4 linked regions of the Canis lupus familiaris genome follow. The protein of the gene in region 1 binds, or shares a complex with, the protein of each later gene. Links are inferred from orthologs where the notes say so. Each region holds a gene or a part of one and is shown on either strand. Other genes may lie near its edges.

The links.
Region 2: the proteins of KLHL3 (region 1) and WNK3 are in contact, whole or in part, in a crystal structure (PDB 5NKP), measured with the Homo sapiens proteins. The link is inferred for Canis lupus familiaris from reciprocal best matches to the Homo sapiens genes KLHL3 and WNK3. Residues at the interface, in NP_059111.2 of Homo sapiens: Lys312, Arg339, Phe355, Gly357, Arg360, Thr386, Phe402, Gly404, Ser405, Gly407, Ser432, Ser433, Tyr449, Gly451, Arg454, Cys456, Ser481, His498, Arg528, Tyr577; in NP_065973.2 of Homo sapiens: Glu537, Cys538, Glu539, Glu540, Thr541, Glu542, Val543, Asp544, Gln545, His546.
Region 3: the proteins of KLHL3 (region 1) and CUL3 are in contact, whole or in part, in a crystal structure (PDB 4HXI), measured with the Homo sapiens proteins. The link is inferred for Canis lupus familiaris from reciprocal best matches to the Homo sapiens genes KLHL3 and CUL3. Residues at the interface, in NP_059111.2 of Homo sapiens: Pro73, Tyr74, Ala77, Met78, Asp82, Met83, Ser84, Glu85, Glu92, Ile93, Lys94, Asp95, Pro125, Ser128, Leu129, Gln131, Met133, Arg136, Asp160, Val161, His162, Thr163, Thr165; in NP_003581.1 of Homo sapiens: Ile44, Asn49, Ser50, Gly51, Leu52, Ser53, Phe54, Glu55, Leu57, Tyr58, Arg59, Tyr62, Thr63, Leu66, Lys68, Met118, Asp121, Ile122, Met124, Tyr125, Arg128, Val129, Gln133.
Region 4: the proteins of KLHL3 (region 1) and WNK4 are in contact, whole or in part, in a crystal structure (PDB 4CH9), measured with the Homo sapiens proteins. The link is inferred for Canis lupus familiaris from reciprocal best matches to the Homo sapiens genes KLHL3 and WNK4. Residues at the interface, in NP_059111.2 of Homo sapiens: Arg339, Phe355, Gly357, Ser358, Leu359, Arg360, Thr386, Phe402, Gly404, Gly407, Ser432, Tyr449, Gly451, Ser481, His498, Arg528, Tyr577; in NP_115763.2 of Homo sapiens: Glu557, Pro558, Glu559, Glu560, Pro561, Glu562, Ala563, Asp564, Gln565.

The regions. Positions count from the first base shown.
Region 1 is NC_049232.1:25,382,701-25,387,854, reverse strand, and holds part of KLHL3 (kelch-like protein 3), read left to right. Parts: intron 1-217; coding exon 218-335; intron 336-746; coding exon 747-944; intron 945-2,417; coding exon 2,418-2,519; intron 2,520-2,879; coding exon of another isoform or gene 2,880-3,001; exon of another isoform or gene 3,002-5,154. UniProt on the Homo sapiens protein: Substrate-specific adapter of a BCR (BTB-CUL3-RBX1) E3 ubiquitin ligase complex that acts as a regulator of ion transport in the distal nephron.
Region 2 is NC_049260.1:46,312,035-46,317,188, reverse strand, and holds part of WNK3 (serine/threonine-protein kinase WNK3), read left to right. Parts: intron 1-3,085; coding exon 3,086-3,176; intron 3,177-3,717; coding exon 3,718-3,848; intron 3,849-4,357; coding exon 4,358-4,980; intron 4,981-5,154.
Region 3 is NC_049246.1:38,008,540-38,014,400, forward strand, and holds the start of CUL3 (cullin-3), read right to left. Parts: upstream 3,571-5,861; 5' UTR 3,556-3,570; coding exon 3,484-3,555; exon of another isoform or gene 3,315-3,483; intron 3,304-3,314; exon of another isoform or gene 3,283-3,303; intron 1-3,282. UniProt on the Homo sapiens protein: Core component of multiple cullin-RING-based BCR (BTB-CUL3-RBX1) E3 ubiquitin-protein ligase complexes which mediate the ubiquitination and subsequent proteasomal degradation of target proteins.
Region 4 is NC_049230.1:20,109,123-20,114,709, reverse strand, and holds the start of WNK4 (serine/threonine-protein kinase WNK4), read left to right. Parts: upstream 1-1,271; 5' UTR 1,272-1,378; coding exon 1,379-2,008; intron 2,009-2,662; exon of another isoform or gene 2,663-2,790; intron 2,791-3,448; coding exon 3,449-3,621; intron 3,622-4,793; coding exon 4,794-5,014; intron 5,015-5,376; coding exon 5,377-5,534; intron 5,535-5,587. UniProt on the Homo sapiens protein: Serine/threonine-protein kinase component of the WNK4-SPAK/OSR1 kinase cascade, which acts as a key regulator of ion transport in the distal nephron and blood pressure.

The sequences.
Region 1 (5,154 bases):
TTCTCATGATGGTGTTTCTTCATATGATGTTATTGTTAGATTTTTCTTGAATTGTCCTATTTGTTGGTGACTTAGGACAGCATCTCCAAATGTGTAACTCTGTACCCTGGATGGCCCGTGGACCCTGGGCAGCTGGCATGCGGAAGTACCAGGGATTGATCATGTGTGAATCCATTAGCTGGGCAGACCCAGCTAATGTCTGTTTGTCTTTCTGGAGGTCATGATTGTGGTTGGTGGCCAGGCCCCCAAGGCGATCCGCAGCGTGGAATGTTACGATTTCGAAGAGGACCGGTGGGACCAGATTGCTGAGCTTCCCTCCAGGAGATGCAGAGCAGGTGAGTAGCACCATCTGTCATTGTGCAGCTTGCTTTCCCCAGCTTGTCTCTGCTTACTGCCAGAAGTCCTCCACTGCTCCTTGTTTCCACAAACATCTGTGCATTATAGACTCTCTTCCTCTTCCTTCCCCACTTGCCCAGTTTCTGGCTGCCCCTTCTGGGGTCGGTTCTTATGTGCTTTGGGACTTCAGGCTGGTACAAGTATTTGCTTGAATCAAACAACATTGGAAAAGCATATATGAATGGAAATCCAGAGAGTCCATAATGGCTTCCAGTTCTATAAAGTTGGAGATCACTTTCTGTGGTGAATTATTCATGTGATTGCCCGGCTCCCCAATGTCACTCATTGTCACCACATGAGTGATCAGCCGCCTGAGATGACCTCGATGCCTTGGTTTTCCTGTGCCTCAGGTGTGGTGTTCATGGCTGGTCACGTGTATGCTGTGGGCGGGTTTAACGGCTCACTGCGCGTGCGGACAGTGGACGTATATGATGGTGTGAAGGACCAGTGGACGTCCATCGCCAGCATGCAGGAGCGCCGGAGCACTCTGGGTGCGGCCGTGCTCAATGACCTCCTCTACGCCGTGGGGGGCTTTGATGGCAGTACTGGTAGGTCTGGGATGTGGTCTCCATTCCTCCCGGCCTGGGACATGCCCTCAGGGCAACCCTGGTTTGCTCAGCCAGTTCTTGGGCCAATGTTCTGTCCATCCAGAACTACTTCCTCAGCAGCATACTCATCCTTCCTCATCTCCTACCTTGCTTGCCAGAGGCAGGCTTTCCTGCACACAGACTATGTAACTGCCCACATGCTATCATTTCTAGGACTCTAGGAAGGATTCTGCACTCAGAAGAGAACATATTCTCCTTGCTATTGTTTGGGAACCTATTTTTTTCAAAAACTGAGACTTAGCATGTTTAGCTGCAGGGCATCTTAGGATTGTCCAAACCTTCTGCTGGACGAACAAAGGAGCTGGAGTTCAACCATGGGAGAAACCTGACTCAGGCGCATGCCATCTTTGTCCATTGCCCTTTCCCTGCCCCATGAAGCTTTGCCAGGCTGTGCCACAGCAGGAACATCCACTTGCTCCTGGCTTCTGTGTCACTTCAGAGTTCAAATCAGAAACTATGAATAGATGTGGACTTGGAGAGATGATCACATTTCTCATCTACCTCTAGGTGGTACTCTCTGTAGACAGTAGCTCTGGTACACTGAAATGCCCCCAGGGATGTAAAAAACAGGATTTTTTACTTCATTGAATTTTCATTTGTGTCTTTACCACTTGATAACCTTTCCCAGTCTTCTCTTTGCCTCACTCATAAACCTCCAGGGTCTACAGCCCCTCCAGGGGCTTCCACTAATGGATAGGACCTGAGAATAAAGAGAAAAAAAGGGAATGGAGCATTGTTTCTTTAAGAAGTTGCTGTCAGCTGTAAGTAGAAAGTTCTACTATATGGTGGCTTATGCAATTGAGAAATACTGTTCTACCCATGAAACAGGGACTCTGGAAGTTGGTAGTTGCTCACTTCATCCACTTGATCAAGAATATTGTGGCCAAGCTCTTTAAACGTCTCTTGGCTATGTTCTCCTAATCATAAGATGTCTGTGGTAGCTTAAGCCAGCACATTTGTGTTCCAGGTGGCAACAGCAGGTTGGTGTTGGCACCTGTATCAGAAAAACAAATGCTATTTCAGAAATGCCCATCAGACTTCCACTTAGGCCTCATTGACTGGGTCACCCCTAGGGTGGGAAGGTAAGTGTTCAGCTTCTCATGTAAAGGAAGAGAAGGCAAAAGGTGTTAGGTGAGGCAACCACAGGTTTTTTCCCCTATTCTGTAGGTGTAACGGTTAACATTTGCAGGGCAGTTCAGTTGTATCCCTGTGTCCTCTCATGACCTGCCCTGAGTCAGGCCTTGGTGCACCTCCCATGCAGATGTGCTTTAGGGAGCTGCCCTAGGCCACACAGCAAAGTAGAGGTGGTGCTCAGCCATACATGCAGGTCTCTGACCCTCTCCCCAGCTTTTCTTGGGCACACTGGGTGAGGCCTCACACTGTAGGCAATCTCATGAGTCTCTTGTCTCCCAGGCCTAGCATCCGTGGAAGCCTACAGTTACAAGACCAATGAGTGGTTCTTCGTGGCTCCGATGAACACACGGCGGAGCAGCGTGGGTGTGGGCGTTGTGGAGGGTAAGAACAAAAGTGCGTGGTGCCCTATCTGTGCCCCAGTCCGCAGGTCTTGTCCTCATGCCCTGGCTCTAGTCCTCCCATCACAGCTCTGAGTCAGGTACTAGTCTCCTGACGGAACAGGTGAGGAAAGTTGAGGTGCAGCTACTGGCTCGAGGCTAGCGGGTGGCCTGCTGTGTTGGGAAGAGTAAGAGAAGCCTAAGAGGAAACACCGGCCTGTTCCTTTGGCCACTTGTCAACAGTTCTCTTACAGGTTGAAGACTCAGGGTCAACATATAACTGAGGAGCATAATGTGATGGGGGGTAAGAATCATTTCATTTAATTAATTTTATTTTCCTATTCCTATGTTGACACATTAACAGAGCCTAGGGTGAAGTGGGCATTTCCTTCCTGGTCTGATTACTGTCACGGCAGGACAGGTTGGTCACAGAGTCCTGCTCTTGTTAGGAAGGGTGTGTGGGGTGAGGCAGGTGGGAGTGATTAGGTCTGGGGCTCAGTTAGACTGTAGTTTATAAATGGCTCCTTTATATACAAATTTTGTTCCCAAAATCCTTTTGAAGAAGATAGGCAAAGCTTACATTTTCTCCATTCTCCACATGCGGAAGTAGAATGCCAGAGAGGCAAGTGATGTGCTCATTCATAAATAGCACAGCCAGTCCTGGAGCCTGGGTCTTCTGACTCCAAACTCACTGCTCTTTCTATCGTGCTACACTCTTTCAGACCATTAGCAAATGCTATCAGGGAGTCTTATAAATATGTGTAAATTCAATGTATTAAAGCACAGAGTATGATTTGGACTAAAATGTCCTACTTTGTAGGACAACACTGTCTCTCTGCTTTTCATGTGCACCCCAAGAACACCCTTACTTGCTTTGGGGAAAGTTTGATATGCAGTGATTAGACAGTAATAGAAATATTCTTTTCTCTCACTGCATTTCTTGTTTTGTACCAGTATTGTGTAAATTTCCATTTAAAAGTACATTATTCTAACATACTAAACAAGTCATCCTGGTGAGTGCAAGGATTCCATCCTCCTATCAAGATAAATTGTTTTTTTGCAATCTCATCCTCCTGGTGGAACAGAAATTGATTTGTCTGCCAAACGTAAGTGCTTTGTCTAGCCACCTTCCCACTTCCCCCCTTGTTCCTTAGCCAGGAATATCAAACAATAGAGGAGGGGTTAAAAATAGCAAGTCCCTGTTAATAGACTCCAGGAGAAACCTTGAGTGGGTATTTTTTCAGCTGATACAAGGTTGAGATGGTTGGCGGGGGTTAGAGAAGTTGCCTTCATGGTAGTGATTTTAAATCCTCTCCTTAATGCTTTTGGGAGCATCTTGTGTGTGTGGAAGGAGTGCTGTATTGTAGCATGCCTTTTGACACAGAGGACAGCCTGGGAACATGTTGATCATGTGTATCCTAAATTTGAAGCCCTTTGGCTCTGGGTCATCCTGGGACAAGCAGAGGGTCCTCCTCACAACTCCAGTGAGAATGTTTCAGGGGCATCTTACAGGGCTTCTGCTTCACTCTGGCCTTATAAGTACAGCTCTCCACGTTTCACCGTGCTCTCCTCCCTCTCCCTGTCTCCTACTGTGGCTGCCTGGTCTGAATGACACTGGGGTTGCCCTTGGGAGCTTCTCCTCTCCTCCACATCCCAAGCCTTCCTCTTTCCCAAGTGACTTAGGCTTTGGTGAGTGGTGGGCAGCTGGGAGGGCAGGTGGTTGTGTCTTGGCCAGCACACCCCATAGAAGCAGCCTGGACTCTAGAAGAGCTTCTGGGTCAGGAATTTCTCCTGTGGCTTAGGTGAGGATGGAACTGGAAAGGAGGTGTCCCTTTCTTTTAGAAGGTCCACTGGAATGGATTCTGGGGCAGAAAACAAAACCAACCTCAGTGGTAGAAGAAGAAAGAATTTTACATTTGATACAGCAATAGTTGTGATGGTACAGTGCATTTTTGAGCCTCTAAATTAAAATAATTGCCCACTTCCAAATAATGTTTGTACTTTTGTTATTTCTCCCTTAGGAAAGCACATAGTGACAAAAAAATCTCTTTTAATTAGTAACTCTATTAAGTGGATTTGCATTGGGCAGTGCTTATTTAGCCTACAGCCAGTGTTTAAGATCTTTATTTTAACTCTCTTGTTCCCCATCAGTCTGTAGCCCACAGGTGAGGTAGGACTGCCCTTGCCCACCTCCCGCACCCCCCTCCCCCCCCGCCCCAATGTGGGGGAGGCAGGAGTGGGAGAGAAGAGACCCTCCATGCTTGAATCTCTGCTCTGGGAGCGCTCTAATGCCAACTTCCTGCCCCTTATCCAACCTTATGCCTGACCCCAGGCAGAAATGATGCTTTTGGATAGCAACTTATGGTATTTTTATTTTAAAAATGGGTAATGATATTTCAGGGATATTGTGCATGGCTCAAAGATTACAAGGGAGCCAATAGATGAGTTCCAGCCACCCTGGCCCAGAGTTGACACAGAGCACTGCATTCACATGCTTCATTTGCTGAAATTGTGGACTGAGCACATGAATAACGGTGAAGACAGGGTTTGGGTTCTCACTGAAGAATATTTTCCCATATTGTTTCATCTGCCATTGTGAGCCTTTAGCCACAAAGTCAGCCTGCCTGCCTGTAGCTGGG
Region 2 (5,154 bases), on another chromosome or scaffold:
CTTATGTTTTTTAAACAATGCATAATATTCCATTGAATAGATATAACAAATATTTATATTGTTATAAACTAGTAATTTTAAATTATGCAATTAATATATAAACAGGAAAGCAATTCAGAAGGATAAAAAATTTAAAGTAATTATGTTAACAACTTCTAATACCCCATCCTATTCCACAAACACTGTTAAGTTCTTGGTTTTAATTCTTGAGGCCATTGGCATTAATAACTTGTAAACAATATACTTATTCATCTATTTTTTGATGTAATAATTTTAGATAATACCTAATAATTCACAGCTGTGAAGAGTGAAGAAATTACTGTATTTTCCCTTTCCTCTTCTTTCCCATACATCTCCCAATTTTTATTACTTGTATTACTTTTTAACACTGGCAAAGTTTATAACATCTACATTTTTTTCTGTAACACTGGTTGTGCTTTGTCTGTAGGTTGATTTGAAGAATTGAAGATCAATAAACAACATTTATATTATGATTATATGTGTATCTGATGATGTAATATGATTAAAAGCACAGGAAATGAAATAGACTTCTCTGTCATTTAAATTTTGTTGCTCAGAGGATATTCTTTCAAATGTCAAGGTCAAATAGATTCTTTTAAAGTGTCCACTGCTACATCTGGATCAGTCTTAACTGTTTCTGGTGTCCTAGAATTCCCTTTCCCCCCCTGAAATGCTTCTATGAGTAATATTTTTAGGTATGTTGTATGGGTGACTATTTTTTTAAAGTCCAAAAATGCCTTTTGTTTGTTTCACACTTGATTAAGTATACGTGGCAGGGTCATTTTGAGTTAGTTTTTATATATATATATTGTGTGAAATAAGAGTTCACCTTATTCTTTTGCATCTGACTGTCTAGTTGTTCCAGCACCATTGTTATTCTTTGTTGTTATTATAAATGGAATTGTTTTCTTAATTTCCTTTTCAGATTTTTCATTGCTATTGTATAAAGTATAACCAATTTTGAAGTGTTGATTTTGTATCCTTCAATTTTGCTGAATTTGTGTATTATTTAGGATTATATGTATAATACATAAGATCATATTGTCTGCAAAAAGAGATAGTTTATTTCTTCACTTCCTTATCTATTAACTTTTCATTGCATGCTTTCCATCTCTTTGTCCTTCTGCTTTTTGTAGAGAATTTCTCAATTTTTAAGCTGTTTCCAATTTCCTGTTCAGCTATTTTTTATGTCAAGGATTCTATTTTTGTTTTTTCATTTTTATTATTTTTACTTTTATCATTTTTTAAGAAAGGGGCAGGGAGAAGGGCAGAGGGAGAGGGAGAAGCTCAAGCAGGCTCCACACCCAGCCTGGAGCCCAATGCAGGATGCGATCTCACAACCCTGAGATCATGATCTGAGCCAAAATCAGGAGTTGGACACCTAACCCACTGAGCCACCCAGGCACCCTAAGGATTACATTTTTATTTTTTTTATTTATTTATTTATTTATTTTTTTAATTTTTTAAATTTTTATTTATTTATGATAGTCACAGAGAGAGAGAGAGAGAGAGAGAGAGGCAGAGACACAGGCAGAGGGAGAAGCAGGCTCCATGCACCGGGAGCCTGACGTGGGATTCGATCCCGGGTCTCCAGGATCGCGCCCTGGGCCAAAGGCAGGCGCTAAACCACTGCGCCACCCAGGGATCCCAGGATTACATTTTTAATTTCCAGTAACTATAGTTCATTATTTTTCTTATGTTTGTATTATCTTCACACATTTTTCTAGAGATTAATTAAAGTCTTATTCTGTGTTATTGGCTATTCTTCTTGTTGTTGAATTTAGTGCTTGCTTTCTTTTTAAAAATTTTTATTTACTTACTTTTTATGCAGGCTCCACACGCAGTGTGGACTCACAATCCTGAGATCAAGAGTCATATGCTCCACTGACTGAACTAGCCAGGTGCCCCTAGTATTTTCTTATAGTATCAATTTCCCACATTTGATGATTCTTAGTTGTGTACTCTTCTTTTTCCCCTGTTAAGATTCTTTGTTTGTCTCTCTAAATGCTATATATAATTATTGTAGCCTTCCTCTGGTAATTGTGGGAAAGGCATGGGACATGTTTTTTGGCTCTGAATATTATAATTTTTCTCCAAATGCTGCCAGGAGGGTGGCTTAATAGTCTTCAAAGATAGAAGTGCTTTTCCTTCCTTGTGGAAGTTGTCTCCTTCCTACATTGCTGATTTGGCCACATTTTCCTCTCACCACTCTTATTTGGGAGCAGATGCCCCTGCTGTCTTTTGCTTGTAGAGATAGGGAGGGAAAGAACTGCATTATCTATTCTTTCTGTGGTACGCCAACCAGTTTACTCTCCCATTCAGTGAGTAAGTCAGGATCTCTTTTTGTGGAGCTCAAATTCTAGTTTCATGTTTCTCAAAAGTGAGTATTTTTTGTATTAATTATTATGGAGGATTTATTATTAAAGTACTCAGAATACAGCAGTTAATTCTGACATGTTGGGAGAGGTAGGAAGACAAGAAGAGGAGAGTGATTTTATAGCCAACTATGGCCTGATGTTAACAATTTTTAGAGCAAGAATTTGAAATAATTTTGAGGCCCATTGTAAATTTCTGTGTGCTTACATAAAGTAAGAAATTCAATTTGGTAAGATTTCTCTACAAATCTAAATGCCTAGATATCTTGTTTTTCTATGTTATCATGTGTATTAGGCATCTTTAACTCTCACAAATATGAGCATAAATGAAAGTTTCATTTTAAGAGCATAGGGTTTCAGTAACCATTTTTATTAAATGAAGTTTATGAAGGAAATAACTTAAATTTTAATCTTCAGTTTTCAAAGTTGCTATAATGGAAAATATTCTAGGGTGGAAGATTAATATTCTGCTCTTTATTTATCTGAAGTTCAGATAATATTTTTAAAGAAAAGGAAAGGATTAATTCCTAGAAGTTGACTATTTCAGATGCACTCTGATATGTAAATATATATAGCATTTTATTTATGCTTACTCATTAGTCCATGCAAGAAACTCCAGTGGTGTACACAACTGCTTCACCTTATACAAATTATTACCATTTTGGTTTTTCTCTTTTTGTCTCCATTAGGAGATGTCTCCAGATGCTTCACTTCCAGGAGATCCAGAGGCCTATCCTGCTGCTGTGTCAAGCGGTGGAGCCATTCATCTGCAGACAGGAGGTGGATATTTTGGCCTAAGCTTTACTTGTCCTAGTCTCAAAAATCCTATTAGCAAGAAATCCTGGACTCGCAAATTAAAAAGCTGGGCATACAGGCTACGGCAGTCAACCAGCTTTTTCAAGAGATCAAAAGTCCGTCAAGGTAGTGTGCTTACAGTCAGGGACATAGACTAGGTAACATCACTTTTCATTTACTTCTTTTTTTTGTTGTTGTTTGTTTGTTCATATACAGATCTTAACCACTTTTTCCACATAGCCCATGTATGTGACATGTCCCATTAATGTCATTGCCATTTTCCTTTTGTAACTAATTTGATTTTATAGTTACTCATTTCATGTAGATACTAAGTCTCGGGATAAGTCTTACAATGTCTGATTTTGAGTTAGGGACTTCTACAATGTTGCTTATTACATTAACACTTTTTAATTATCTAGCAGGGTTAAGCTTTTTCTACATTTCTTCATTTTTTTGGTAATATAAACAAATTTAGTCTTAACAAACAATTTTCTCTTTTCTGCTTACAATTGCATAAAACTTGCAGTGGAAACAGAAGATAGGAGATCAGCAGTTGGTCCTGATCCCATTCCTCTGACAGGAGAGTCCACAGCTGATACTAGGGCTTTGAGTAGATGTAAAGCAATGAGTGGATCATTTCAGCGGGGTCGATTCCAGGTTTGTGTCTTTGGTTGAATCTTTATCTACACGGGCATTGAAGATCTTGGTATTTAGAGGATATTTATCTTAGATGTAGATTATTGTCATATTTAATTTTTTCCCCTTATACACAGCCCGTTACCTTTCGTAGCCTTCCAGTAAAGGCAAGTCTAAAGAAGTAATTTTAGTAGCTGGAAAAGAGCACAGAAATGAGTTACCATTTTTCAGTGGGTGGTTGGATCATCTTTTTTATAAATCTATTTCTTGTCCTTTAGAATCTCAGCAACTTGAATTATCAAAAATTTTAAATTGTAGTATTTTATTTGAGTAACATGAAGCCCACTCTCTTTACCCAAGGAGCCCGAGTGAAAGACTTTGAAAATGGGAATTATAGATGGGATTTTAAGTTTGGATATTATCAATGTGTGTACATCCACTTGTCTGTGCCATATTTTGATATTGAATTTCTTTGTGGGTTTACTCTTTGGTTAGACAGAACCAGCCACTTTTGCCTTTTTGTTTCTCAGGTGATTACAGTTCCTCAGCAACAGTCAGTGAAAGTGACATCTTTTGGAATAGAACGCACACCAGCATTCAATAAACTGACAACTCATTCTAGTGAAGAAGTTTTAGCCTTTACGGACATGGCAAAGTCTCAGTTAGTGGAAATGGAACCTGCCACACACAATCCACAAACTTCACTTCCTTCTCAGAAGTTACGAGTTCTTCATGAAACCTTTAAAGAAGATAAAAAAATTCTCAAACAAGGTGACAACCTCACATCTTTCAGCACAGCTCATGAAGCTGATGTATCTTCAATGACCCCAGAAAAAGAATTGGGGGAAAACTCAGCCACGGAAAGTAGTGTGCATTCTGGACTTGAATTGTTGCTTAAAGAGAGAGAGATACTTATTGCTGGGAAACAGCCAAGCTCTGATAGTGAATTTTCAGCCACTCTTGCTGTCAGAGGGAAGTCAGTGGCAAACACTGGTCCAGAGAGTGGTCAGTGCTTACCACTCCGTGAAGAAAAAGCCTGTGCTCAAATACAGAGCTCACTCTTCTATTCGCCATCTTCTCCAATGAGCAGTGATGATGAGTCAGAAATAGAGGATGAGGATTTGAAGGCAGAGCTTCAAAGATTACGAGAAAAGTAAGATTGTTTCTCTCTCTCTCTCTCTCTTTTTTTTTTGATTGTTTCTCTTTTATCACAAATCTGCCTGGAGTTTTATAGAATTAAGTATTTGATAGCTAATTTACAATTGGTGACATTTAAAAAAATATTTATTTACTTATTTGAGAGAGAGGGAGAGTGAGCAGGGAAGGG
Region 3 (5,861 bases), on another chromosome or scaffold:
AATCTACTAAAATGAATTCATTGCTTTGACAGATTATAACTTAATAGTTTTCACAATACACTGACAGACATTAATTGCAAGTCCTATTATACCTCAGTGATTTGTGCTTACTAGTAACACCTTTACTTTTTTACTGTATTTTTGAATAAACGAGATCTATTTTCAGAGTTGCATTTGAAACAACGAACTGTCCAGTAACTTTTACAAAAATTTAACAAAACTGCTAACAAATATCAGATACTTTTCAATGAAAATAACAGCAAAAAATTATCTGATGGGAGCAATTTAAAATACAAAGTCTTAATTATATTATCTTCATGAATTAGAGAAATGCTGTTATTACTTAGCTAAATTTAATGAATGAATGATGTACAAATAAAGCTTTCTCCATCTTGTCTCAATGAACTAATCTTATTTAAAAGGCCAAATTCTACAATATACCCTATACTTTAAAATAGTTTCAAATTCAATACTGGAACTAATCATTTTCCAGGCTCCTCTGAAGTATCTAGGAAGATAATGCAAAATACAAATGCCTTATAGGTAACTACTTTACGCTTTTGTTTTTTAACTTCTAAAGCTGAAAACATACTAACAGCTACAACATAACTGGATGTCCTGAAACTACTAAACAAATCAGTCTAAGTGTAAACAACGCTTTAACGAATCTTTTATAACTTACTCCATAGTTTCTGTATGCTAGAGAATGGTAAGTAAATATAGTTAATTCCCCACCCTGTTTGATTTCCAGGACTATTATTCAGACTATTATTCAGCTTTCCTGTATATAGTCCAGGTAATCCTAGGCAACTGTTACTTTCTCTAAGGAAATCTATTATGAAGATCAAAGCTGTTTTTTCCCAAATCTAGCAAATTTTACCACAGCTAGGAAAAACAAAATTAAGTGTCCCCAATTACCATTAAACTCTTGTGTTCTTAAGTACATCACAAATGATCTTAAAATTCATCTCCTTCTATTGTCATCCACTCTGTGGTTTCCCTCTAACAATAACCTCTACATGACTCACTGTCCATGCTACACAGGTAGAGCTCCAAGAAGCCAATCTAGGATTATGGAGTGGACATCACAACCAGAGATTCTTCATCATGACTATGCTCTATAATAACTGAAACCACTTCCAGATCACACACTTCTAAAGACCATCACTTTCATAATATGACTTCTAAACTCTGAAGGCTAAGTCAAGAAGGGACTATCAGAAGAGAGAGGAGCATTTTCATTCAAATATATCCCCTCCAATCCAATCAAGTTTTTTCAAGCCCATGTGGACAAAACCCATGTGGAAAGTACAGATGGAGAGGAATGGCTTTTCGAAGATAAAGGACAAAAGGTTCACCTGACAGCAACTAATTCTACATAGCAGAACAAAAGAAAAGCTCAGGAGTGAGACATTCAACAACAGCAAGGAAAGAAGAGCAGAAACTTCTTGGGGCAGCACTCTGATCCAAATCCATATAGCTTCCAAGAGTTTCGCAACTACAGCTTCCTTCCTTAAAAAAAAAATTTTGCCCCTTGCTGTTAATTTTGGGTACCAAAAAAAAAAAGTGAAATGACATATTTTGTGCAGTGTAGGAAAGCTTTCAGGCTGGGATAAACTTTAACTCCATCAACAATTTATGAATCCATAAAGTCCTCACTGTTTTCCATCTTAAAAAAGAACTAATTTCTCTTAAAATCTTACGAAAAGTTCTACTTAAAATGCAAATTGTAGATAAAACTGTGGTATGGCATAACTTACTCTTGGGAACAATAATGAAGGAACACTTAAAATATGTACTCAAAACACTAAAAGAACCTGATTTTACTGATGGGTCTGTATCTGGAATATGCTTACACATCTTATAGAATAGCCTGTGAGTTCACTTACCACTCTGTTTTGCAATGAAAACAAAACAATCTCAAAACATATTTTTACACTTTTTACACGTCGATTTTATAAAACAGAATCCTGAAATGAGCACCTGAGACCTTTGGTTAAACTATAATTTTCTTAAACTACAGTACCTACAATGCATGTCCAAAGATTAATACAAAATACTATATAGCTATAAATATTGTACATCTGTACCACATACAAACGCTATTTTTTCTTTATGGAACAGTATGCATTTACTACTAGAAGACTGCTAACCTGTAAGAAAAGAGAAATTTTGAAGGTCTATAAGGACTCATTTACCAAAGGGTAAGTCGGTGAAATATCATACCACTGAGGCATTTATCCAAGAAACTGTAACTTAGAAGTTTATAAATCAAAAAAAAATCTAGGTTCTTTTCAGTAGAAAGTTGTTACGAATATTATAAATCATGAAACATTGAAAAACTATGCTTTTAAAAATTAGCAGGTACTAAACTACTGAGTATCAAACAGTAGTCATTTATAAACTTCAATAAAGAATATTAGAAAATCTTAGATGGCAACAAGTTGTGGACAGAAAAGATCCAAATTAGCTCACAATCATTAACACACACACACAAAAAAAAAAATCAGTTTCAGGACTATGTGCTAACCTATCATATACTATACTCTTTTGCTAAAGGAATCATGAAATTCTTTCCTGCCTCTCCCAATAATAAATACAACATCCAGAAAGAAGGGATCTTTAGTCTTCAAGCTGTATTGACTTACTCCAAGCTCCTAGAACAGTGCCTGGCACACAGTACTCAGTCTTCATTAAACGAATGAGGGAATGAAGACCAGGTAGGAAGAGGTAAACCTAAATGGACGAAAAAGCTAATCACGCTTAAAGGTACAACTGGTTAATCGCAATATTAACAAAAGTGAGTTCATGTCAAATGTGAGCTATGCCGCATTATAGTAGTAAGTTTGAGTTAGAAGAACTCAGACTTCAAGAATAGCAAATTTTTCCTAGAAAACTTGTTATACAGAAAACTATTTGAAACTCTTAATAATTCGAAATCCTGCTAAACATGTTCACAACTGCTTTAGTAGCAAAACTAACATTACTCAAAAATTCCTAAGCCCAGCTCACTTCACTGTTAAGAGAAAACATGCTGACAGACTTCATTAGTTCTCTTCTGCATTAGTGTCTTCCCTCACTGCAAATCACACTTCAGAAAAAAGCAAGCCTTCCCACAGTGAATACAAACCCCACCTTTTCCCCCTTCCCAAAATATGACGTGTGTAGGATTCTAAGACATTCAAGATCTTTCCCCAGTTTTACTGTTGTTTTTTTTTTTTAAAAAAACAAAAAAAACAAAACCTTCCGTTCGACTGCTGGTTTGCCTTTCTTGACATATACCTGTTACCGTAGCGACGTGAGGCAAGAACGTCCAGTTTCTGTTACAACAGTACACTTTAATTGCTTGCCATGGGCTATCTGAATCAGGTATGGCATCCCAAGTTACACTCTCTACACTAAATAATGCCAGCGTATGACTCAACGTAACGCTAAAAAAGAAAGTTTCTAAACAGAGCAGCCTTTGCTGTCGCTGAAACCCACAGCGTAGAGCAACTCGGGGCAGTGACGACCCCCTCCTGCTGGGCTTCCACGGCTAAGATCTGGAGAGGCCATTGTCCAGCGTGTGTTCTCTGGCTTCCCCTTGACCCTCCTACAAGTGGCGAGGCCAATTCCTGCACAAGAAGAGTTTGTAAAGTGCTTTTGGACGCCTGTGGATGAAAGAGGCTATAAATACAGCTGACGAGGTTAGGTGCGTGCGTTACTACCGAGCAGTGCAAGGAGCCACGGTCACTGCGTCGGGGGGCGGGTAGGTGGGCGGCCAGCCCCCTTCCTGCGGAGGCACAGGACAGCCCCCTCCACCCCCCGAAAGGTCTGGCGGGCCCTGGTTGAGGCCGGGTTATTTTTGAGACCGCACGTGAAAAGTTCCACACACGCCCCCCCACACACGGAAGACTTCCACAGTCCCCGTCCCCGCGGGTGTGGTGGTCCCGGGGCGCCGGCAGGGAGGGGAGCACCGGGGGCCGGGCCTACCCCCCGGGAACGTGGGAAGGGGCCGGCCCAGGGGCCCCCGCCGCAGCCGCAGCAGCCGCCGCCCGCCCGCCCGCCGCCGCCGGCCCGAGGCTCCCGGGCGGGTGCGCGGCGCCGGCCTGAGGCGCCGGGGCCCCCGAGCCGCCCGCCCCGTGGCCGGGAAGGCTCGCGCCCCGCGGCCGGCGGCGTGGGGGAGGGGAGGCCGGGCCTGCGGCCTGTTGGGGGAGTTCAGCCCGGGCCTCGCGTGCGGCTCTCCGCCGGGCCCCCCGGCCCCGGGGTCCCAGGCGCCGAGGAGAGACTCACCGGAAAGGCCCGGATCCGCATCTTGGTGTCCTTCCGGCTGCCCGTGCCTTTGCTCAGATTCGACATGGTGCTCGTCCCCTCCCCGGCGGCGGCTTCGGGTCGCACTCCGAGGCGCCGGTGTCACATTTAAGGCGGGCGGGCCGGCGAGGGGCTGCGCTGGGGGGCGGCGGCGGCGGCGGCGGCGGCGGCGCGGCCCCCGGGCTGGGCTGGGGAGCGGGCCGGCCCCTGGGCGGCCGCGGCGGCTCGGGCTCCGGCGGCTCGGGCTCGGGCTCGGGCTCGGGCTCGGGCTCGGGCTCGGGCTGCGGCGGGGCTGGGCTGGGGGGGCTGCGCTGGCGCGGCGCCTCCGCGGGGTCCCCCTCACGCCCGGCTCGGCTCCCTTTATCGCGCTCCTCCGCGATGGCGGCGGCGGCGGCGACGGACAAACATCTCACTGCGCAGGCCGAACGTCCTCCTCCTCCTTCTCCTCCTCCGCCTCGACGAGACGAGATCCGGCCCAGAGGGTGGAGGGGGGAGGAGGGAGGGAGGAGAGCCGGAGAGTGGAGAGATCGGGGGGAGGGGGTGGGAGGACGGGAGGGGGAGGCGGGCGGCCGCGGCGGCGGGGCGGGGCGGGGACGCCGAGATCTCGCGAGACGAGGGCGAGCGCGCTGCCCCGGGTGGGGCGGGGCGAAGCCTGAGAGCGGGCGGGGTCCGCGGGAGGGGAGGAGGGGAGCGGGGAGTTGGGGGAGTGGGCGTGGCCAGCGGGGCGGGGAGGTTGGGTGAGGGGCGGGGCTGAAGGCGGGAGGAGAAAGCTGCCTTTTTGAAAGGGGAGCGACGGCGGCGCGGAGGTGGTTGCTGATTGGTGGAGCGCGGCGCGGGGTGGGAGGGGTCCCGGTCACGTGGGCGGAGGGGGCGGGGCGAGTCCTGAGAGCCGGAGCCGGACGGTAGTGGGCTGGGCGGGGTTGGGCCGGGGTCGGGGGGGGGCGGGGGCGTAGGGGTGCCAGGTGGTTGGCTGCAGTCTTAGAACTGGTTCCTGTGCGAGTTTCTAGGGCATGTGAGCTGGGGGGGTTGGGGGGGGTGTTTGAGTGGAAGCCAGAAAGTCCAAGGAAGAGTTTGTGCAGGAGTCACCTGCGGCCGTGAGTGCTGTGTGCCCTACGAGGGGCTCCAACGGGGTGCGCGCCCCCGCCCTCGGGATTGAGGGGTGCCGCTCATCCAGGCCCCTTCCTGGGGGAACCCGGGACTCCAGAGCGTTAAAACCTCTTTCTCATCCTTGAAATAAAATGACAACTCCCTTCATGTAGTATTTTGGCAGGTGGTGAAGAATAGAGCGGTAGGATGATAGGAACCTGCCCTTGACCTGCCGAATCATTTCTGCCATTAACCAAGAGTATTGTCGATTTTGGAAGCCGAAATTACTGTCTTTGATCCCAGGTTGTTGTGATTTTGGAAGTTGTTTTTGTCACTGTGGTCAAGGGGTCTAGTTGGATTCATCCGTTTTGCTCTTTATCTTTTTATTGATTGTGAATTTTACTTCCTGATTTACCTCTTTGCCCAATTGGTATTCTATCTGGACTTCTGACACTGCAAAGAATTATGGGAGTTCCCACTAAAAT
Region 4 (5,587 bases), on another chromosome or scaffold:
TGAGCCAGGGTCTGTAAACCTTTAACTTCACATGTGTTCACATACGTAAGTACATACACGCGCCTGCACAAGCTTTTGTCTCTCCCCTTTCCCACCCCTTTAGCTGCTATTGCCTCACCTCTCAGGCTGGTGCTGGATCCTTCCTAAGGGGTGAGAGAAGCCCTGGCTGCAGGCAGCCTTCCAGGCAATATGAAAATAGGAGGCCCAGGAAGGGGCCTGGCGTTGAGGCTGGGCTGGACACTGATTTATGATATTAAAAAGCTCAACCCCACTTGTCTGCCTGACGTTGGAAGTTACTACTGGAATGGTCATGAGGAGGGCTGTGAAGCATTGCCCCTTGAATGAATCCCAGCCTAGGAAAGAGGAGAGGCCTACGGCCTTTGTAGATGAAAAGGTCCTCCAGTGCTGGCAGGCTCCAGTGAGCCTGTGGTTTTACATCTGCTGGGTGGGCTGTGTGGGGGAGTGCTGATGGAACACAGCTTGGGGACAAACTGCTTTCTTTCTCTGAATTAGAGTGACTTAATGGCTTCTCATTTCCTCACGGTCTCCCCCATGAAAGTCCTGAACCACTCTGAAGCCCCTCCCTCCATCCCTCTGGTCTGGGTGGGGTAGTTGAGGCCAAGGGGAGCTGAAGGGGTGTAAACCGGATATGGACTTTGGTTTATTGGGAACTTTGGCAAACAGAAGGAGGAGGAAGGAGAGCCCACATAGCAAAAACAGCTACTGTGGCCAGGGCCAGGCTGCGGCCAAGGTAGGGAGGTGGAGGGGATGGGTGACCGGGTCCTTGGCTTGGGGGAGGGGCTTTCCCTGGGGTGCACACACCCATCCCTGTGCAGTTCAGAGGGACAGCGGCTTGGGAGAAAACCAGACCTTTCCACTGACCTCTGTATTGTCGGCCTGGGGCTACCTTATCTGGGGAGTGCAGGCGGGTGGTAACCTTCCCTTAACCACCCCCCTTTCTAGAGCCCGAGAGCATTGGTCATGTTTCCTCTCCCAGCCCCAGCATTAAGCCTCCACCACCCGCCCCCAAACAGGTTTGCGCACTCTTGTTGCGGGAGGGCACGCTGCCGTCTAGCACCCGGTCCACCTCGGAATGATCCCGCAGGCGGGTGCGCCCGGAGGCGAGGGAGAGGAGGGCCTGCGGCCGGGGGCGGGGCTGCTGAGGTGAGGGGCTGCTCCGCCGCTGGCCGCTCCGAGGGGGCGGCCCTGGGGGGTGAGGCCGGGGGCGGGGCCGGGGGCGGGGCCGGGGGTTAGGCGAGCCGGGGACTGGGGCCCCAGGAGCTCAGCCGGAGCGCTGCGCACCCAGCCAATCCTTGCCTGTCAGGCCGCCTCCTCTCCAGCAGCCCGGCTTGCTGCCTTGCGGCGCCGGCCCTTCCTCATGCTGGCACCCCCGACCTCCGAGACTGCAGTCCCCATGTCCCAGGCGGAGGCCGACCTGGGCCTGCGGCCCCCGCCGCCTCTCGCCGCCGCCGCCGCCGCCGCCGCCGGTCCGCCCCGCCTCGGGCCCCCTCCTCGCCGGGCGCGCCGCTTCTCCGGGAAGGCTGAGCCCCGGCCGCGCTCTTCCCGTCTCAGCCGCCGAAGCTCCGTCGACTTGGGACTGCTGAGCTTGTGGTCCCAGCCAGCTTCACCCGTTCCGGAGCCCCCTGATCCTCCGGACTCCGCTGGTGCCGGCCCCGCGAGGAGCCCACCGCCTAGCCGTCCAGAGCCCCCCGAGGGCACGTGGACTGGGGGAGCCCCGGTGAAGGCTGCAGACTCCACGCGTCCAGAGCTCCCGGGCTCCACAGGGGGCCCCGGGGGCCGGGATCCGCAGACTGCCCCCGAAGCTGCGGCTCGGGAGCGGCAGCGGGAGCAGGAGGAAAAGGAGGACACGGAGACCCAGGCAGTGGCAACATCCCCGGATGGCCGATACCTCAAGTTTGACATCGAGATTGGACGTGGCTCGTTCAAGACGGTGTATCGAGGGCTGGACACTGACACCACGGTGGAGGTGGCCTGGTGTGAGCTGCAGGTGTGGCTGGGCGCCCCCTCTGTGGCATCTTGGGATGGGACCCTTTAGAGGTTTTGGGATGAGAAACCTAGGGGACAGCAGCAAGGGAGAGATCTGTCTTTTCAGTCAAATGTCCGAACACTCCTGCCTGCACCCCCTTGGTCTGATGATCTATGGATCTGGCTGATTCTGGGCTGCAGAAGGATAAACTGAGACAGAGGGTGGCTCCCCTATGGGTTTTGGACATTCTAACTTTAAAGTCTCTATACTCAACCCTGAGAGGTGGAAGATAGAATGCAAAATCAGATAGGGAGCCAGTTCAGATCTAAGGTGTGACTGGCCTCACCAATCTCCTCCTATTGTCTCTTCCTTTCCCTTTCCTCTTAGTCCTGAGACCCTCGGTGTGTCCCTGGTCATCCTCCTCCTTCACCCCAGATCTCTGAAGAGTAAGAGGCTGGGATGATGGAGGCCAGGAGTTGCGGCAGGATCCTCTCCATTTCCAGCAGATTTAGAGTGGTGGTGGCAGGATGGGGCCCACCCAGGCCCCTTCTGGAGCATCAGACTTATAGACAGACTTCCACACAACTGGAGGCGGGCGAGATAGAGAGCTCCAGCCCTGGTCTGAGTCCAGTCCTGCTCCTCATCTCACTGTGTACTTGGGCTCTCCCTTCCCAGACCCAAAAGCACTGAACCCAGTGGGTTTTAGGAGGATGTTGGTGGGAAGGACCTTCCTCTCACGGAGGGAAGAACCCAGTTAAGTCTGGGCCAGCAGCTTTGGATTCAAACCGGGGAGCAGAGCCTGGGTAAGGGTCCTCCCCTCCAGCTCTGGCACTGGGCTCTCCCCTTGCGCCTGCCAGTGCCGCGCCCCAGGCTCTAGGCCAGGCAAGGAGAGGCAGCCAAATGAGGGGGGTTGGGGGGAGGTGGGGGGGGCAGGACAGCCAAGGGGCAGGGGGCAGTCTCCTGGTGCCTGGTCCTGGATCGTTCTCTTTCTCTGTAACTCCCTTTGCAGCCCTCCTGCCTCCTGTCTGGATCTAGCAGTTCTCGGTTTCTGGGGCCAACCCCCTTGAAGGCCCCAATTCTCTGCCTGCTGTCAGCCTGCTGCCTGCCTGCTGCCTGCCCATTGCCAGCCCCGGGGCGTCCCCTCCCGCCCCACGGCTGGCCCAGGAGGCTACAAAGGCGCTATTGAGCTCAGGGCTCCTGGACGGGGCTGCATAAAGGCCCTTGTGTCCAGCAGGGGGTCCAGGGGTGGCCCCAGGCCCAGGATGGGCGTGTCCCTGCAGCAGCCTGAGGGGGCGGATCAGGAATTAGGGGCATACAGCCCCTTGGGCAAGTGATGACCTAACCTGGTCTGTGGGCTCCAACCCTTACCTCTCACCCAGCTGCTCCCTCCATGTGCCCCTTCCTCCTCTCTATGGGGTCCTGGACCCGACATGACCTTGACCCCCATCCCCTACCCCACAGACTCGGAAACTGTCTCGAACCGAGCGGCAGCGATTCTCTGAGGAAGTGGAGATGCTCAAGGGGCTGCAGCACCCCAACATCGTCCGCTTCTACGACTCGTGGAAGTCAGTGCTGAGGGGCCAGGTTTGCATTGTGCTGGTCACCGAACTCATGACCTCCGGCACCCTCAAGACGTGAGCTCTGTGCCTGGTGGTAGTGTTGGTTGGTGGGAGAGCTGGTAGTGGGAGGTCCCCACTGTTTCTGGAACTTCTCCCAGGCTCCTCAAACTCTAGATTTAGGTCCCAAACCAGGCTTGCTACTTCTCATCCACCCCTACTGCGTCTCTGCCTTCTTGAGTGACAGTGTCCACCCAGCCAAAACTCAGGCATCTCCCCAGATGCCTTTTTTATCTCCACTCTGTGCATCCACCTATCCCTATCAATTTCTCTCCAAGGTTTCCTTATAATTCCCCACTCTGCTTTCCCTGTTCCATCCACTGCCATCTCATTGGTCTAAAACCCTGCAGCAGCCCCCTAATGGGCCTTTTCCCACTCTGCCCTCACCTTTCCAACCTATCCTATCTTCCTGCAGTCGGGGGAATCTCTCTGTTCCTTTTTTTTTTTTTTTTTTTTTTTTTAAGATTTTATTTATTTATTTGAGACACACACAGAGAGAGATAGAGAGAGGCAGAGACACAGGGAGAGGGAGAAGCAGGCTCCATGCAGGGAGCCTGACGTGGAACTTGATCCCGGGTCTCCAGGATCACACCCTGGGCTGCATGCGGCGCTAAACCACTGCGCTACCGGGGCTGCCCTCTCTGTTCCTTAAAACCCCTTCAAGGTTTCCCACCTCCCTCAGGTTAAAGTCCACTCTTCTTAGGATTTAGCCTCATCTTGAACTTGGACTCCACACAGGCGGAATTCCCTGTACCTCCTCCCACCCTGCCCTGCTGCTGTCTCCGTGCCTTTGAGCACAGTGTCCCTGCCGCCTGGAAAGTCTCCATCCCTTCCCCTTTTCACCCTTGAACCCCTACTCATCCTTCAAGATGCAACATAAAAGTTATTTCCTCTCTGAAGCCCTCCCCCCACGCCCAGAGCAATTAGTCATCCCTTTCCTTGCTCCCACAGCCCCCAGGAACGGCCCTATCTGCAAGTTTCCCGCCCAACCCGTTTCCTAATCTCACTTCTACCTAGCACACCCCCGACTCAGTTTCTCCCTGGAGCCCGACAGGCAAGCCAGCTAGAAGAATGCTGGCAGAAGATGCGTAGGAGGCGGTGCCAGGGGGACTAGGGGAACTTCCCAGCGAGGGTCCCCTCCCCCGCCTCCGTGTCCCCGCCGCAACCCTGGCTATGTGCCTTTCCTCCAGATACCTGAGGCGGTTCCGCGAGATGAAGCCACGAGTCCTTCAGCGCTGGAGCCGCCAGATCCTCCGGGGTCTTCATTTCCTACACTCCCGGGTACCCCCCATTCTGCACAGGGATCTCAAGTGCGACAACGTCTTTATTACGGGCCCTTCCGGTTCGGTCAAGATTGGGGACCTGGGCCTGGCCACGCTCAAGCGGGCCTCCTTTGCCAAGAGCGTGATCGGTGCGTCTCTCCAGGAGGTCCTTGCTATTCACACCTCCCCCCTCCAGGAGGTCCTTGCTATTCACACCTCCCCCGCGTCAGAAGAGAGCCTGGCAACTCCCCTTCCCAGCAGGTGTCCTTTGAGTTGCACGGAGTTAGAAGAGCAGGGGACTTGGGGAGGCCTATAGCATCTTCTCTCCCCCTTACTGCCCGCTCCCCCCTCCCCCAACACACGCAGTGGGGAAGGGTCTGTCGCTAGCACTCCAGAATGCTCAGGGTTGCCCCTGCCCCCCACCCCCTGACTAGGCAGCGGTGCCCAGGAAGAGGGACGAAGCCCGAGGAGGCTTCTGTAGCTTGATGCCTGCCTGCTGTGGCTCCTACAGGGACCCCTGAGTTCATGGCTCCTGAGATGTACGAGGAAAAGTACGATGAGGCCGTGGACGTGTACGCGTTCGGCATGTGCATGCTGGAGATGGCGACCTCGGAGTACCCTTACTCAGAGTGCCAGAATGCCGCGCAAATCTACCGCAAGGTCACTTCGGTGAGAGGGGGGTGGGGAGGAAAGAGTATTCCAGGTCACCTCTCACTCTCCTG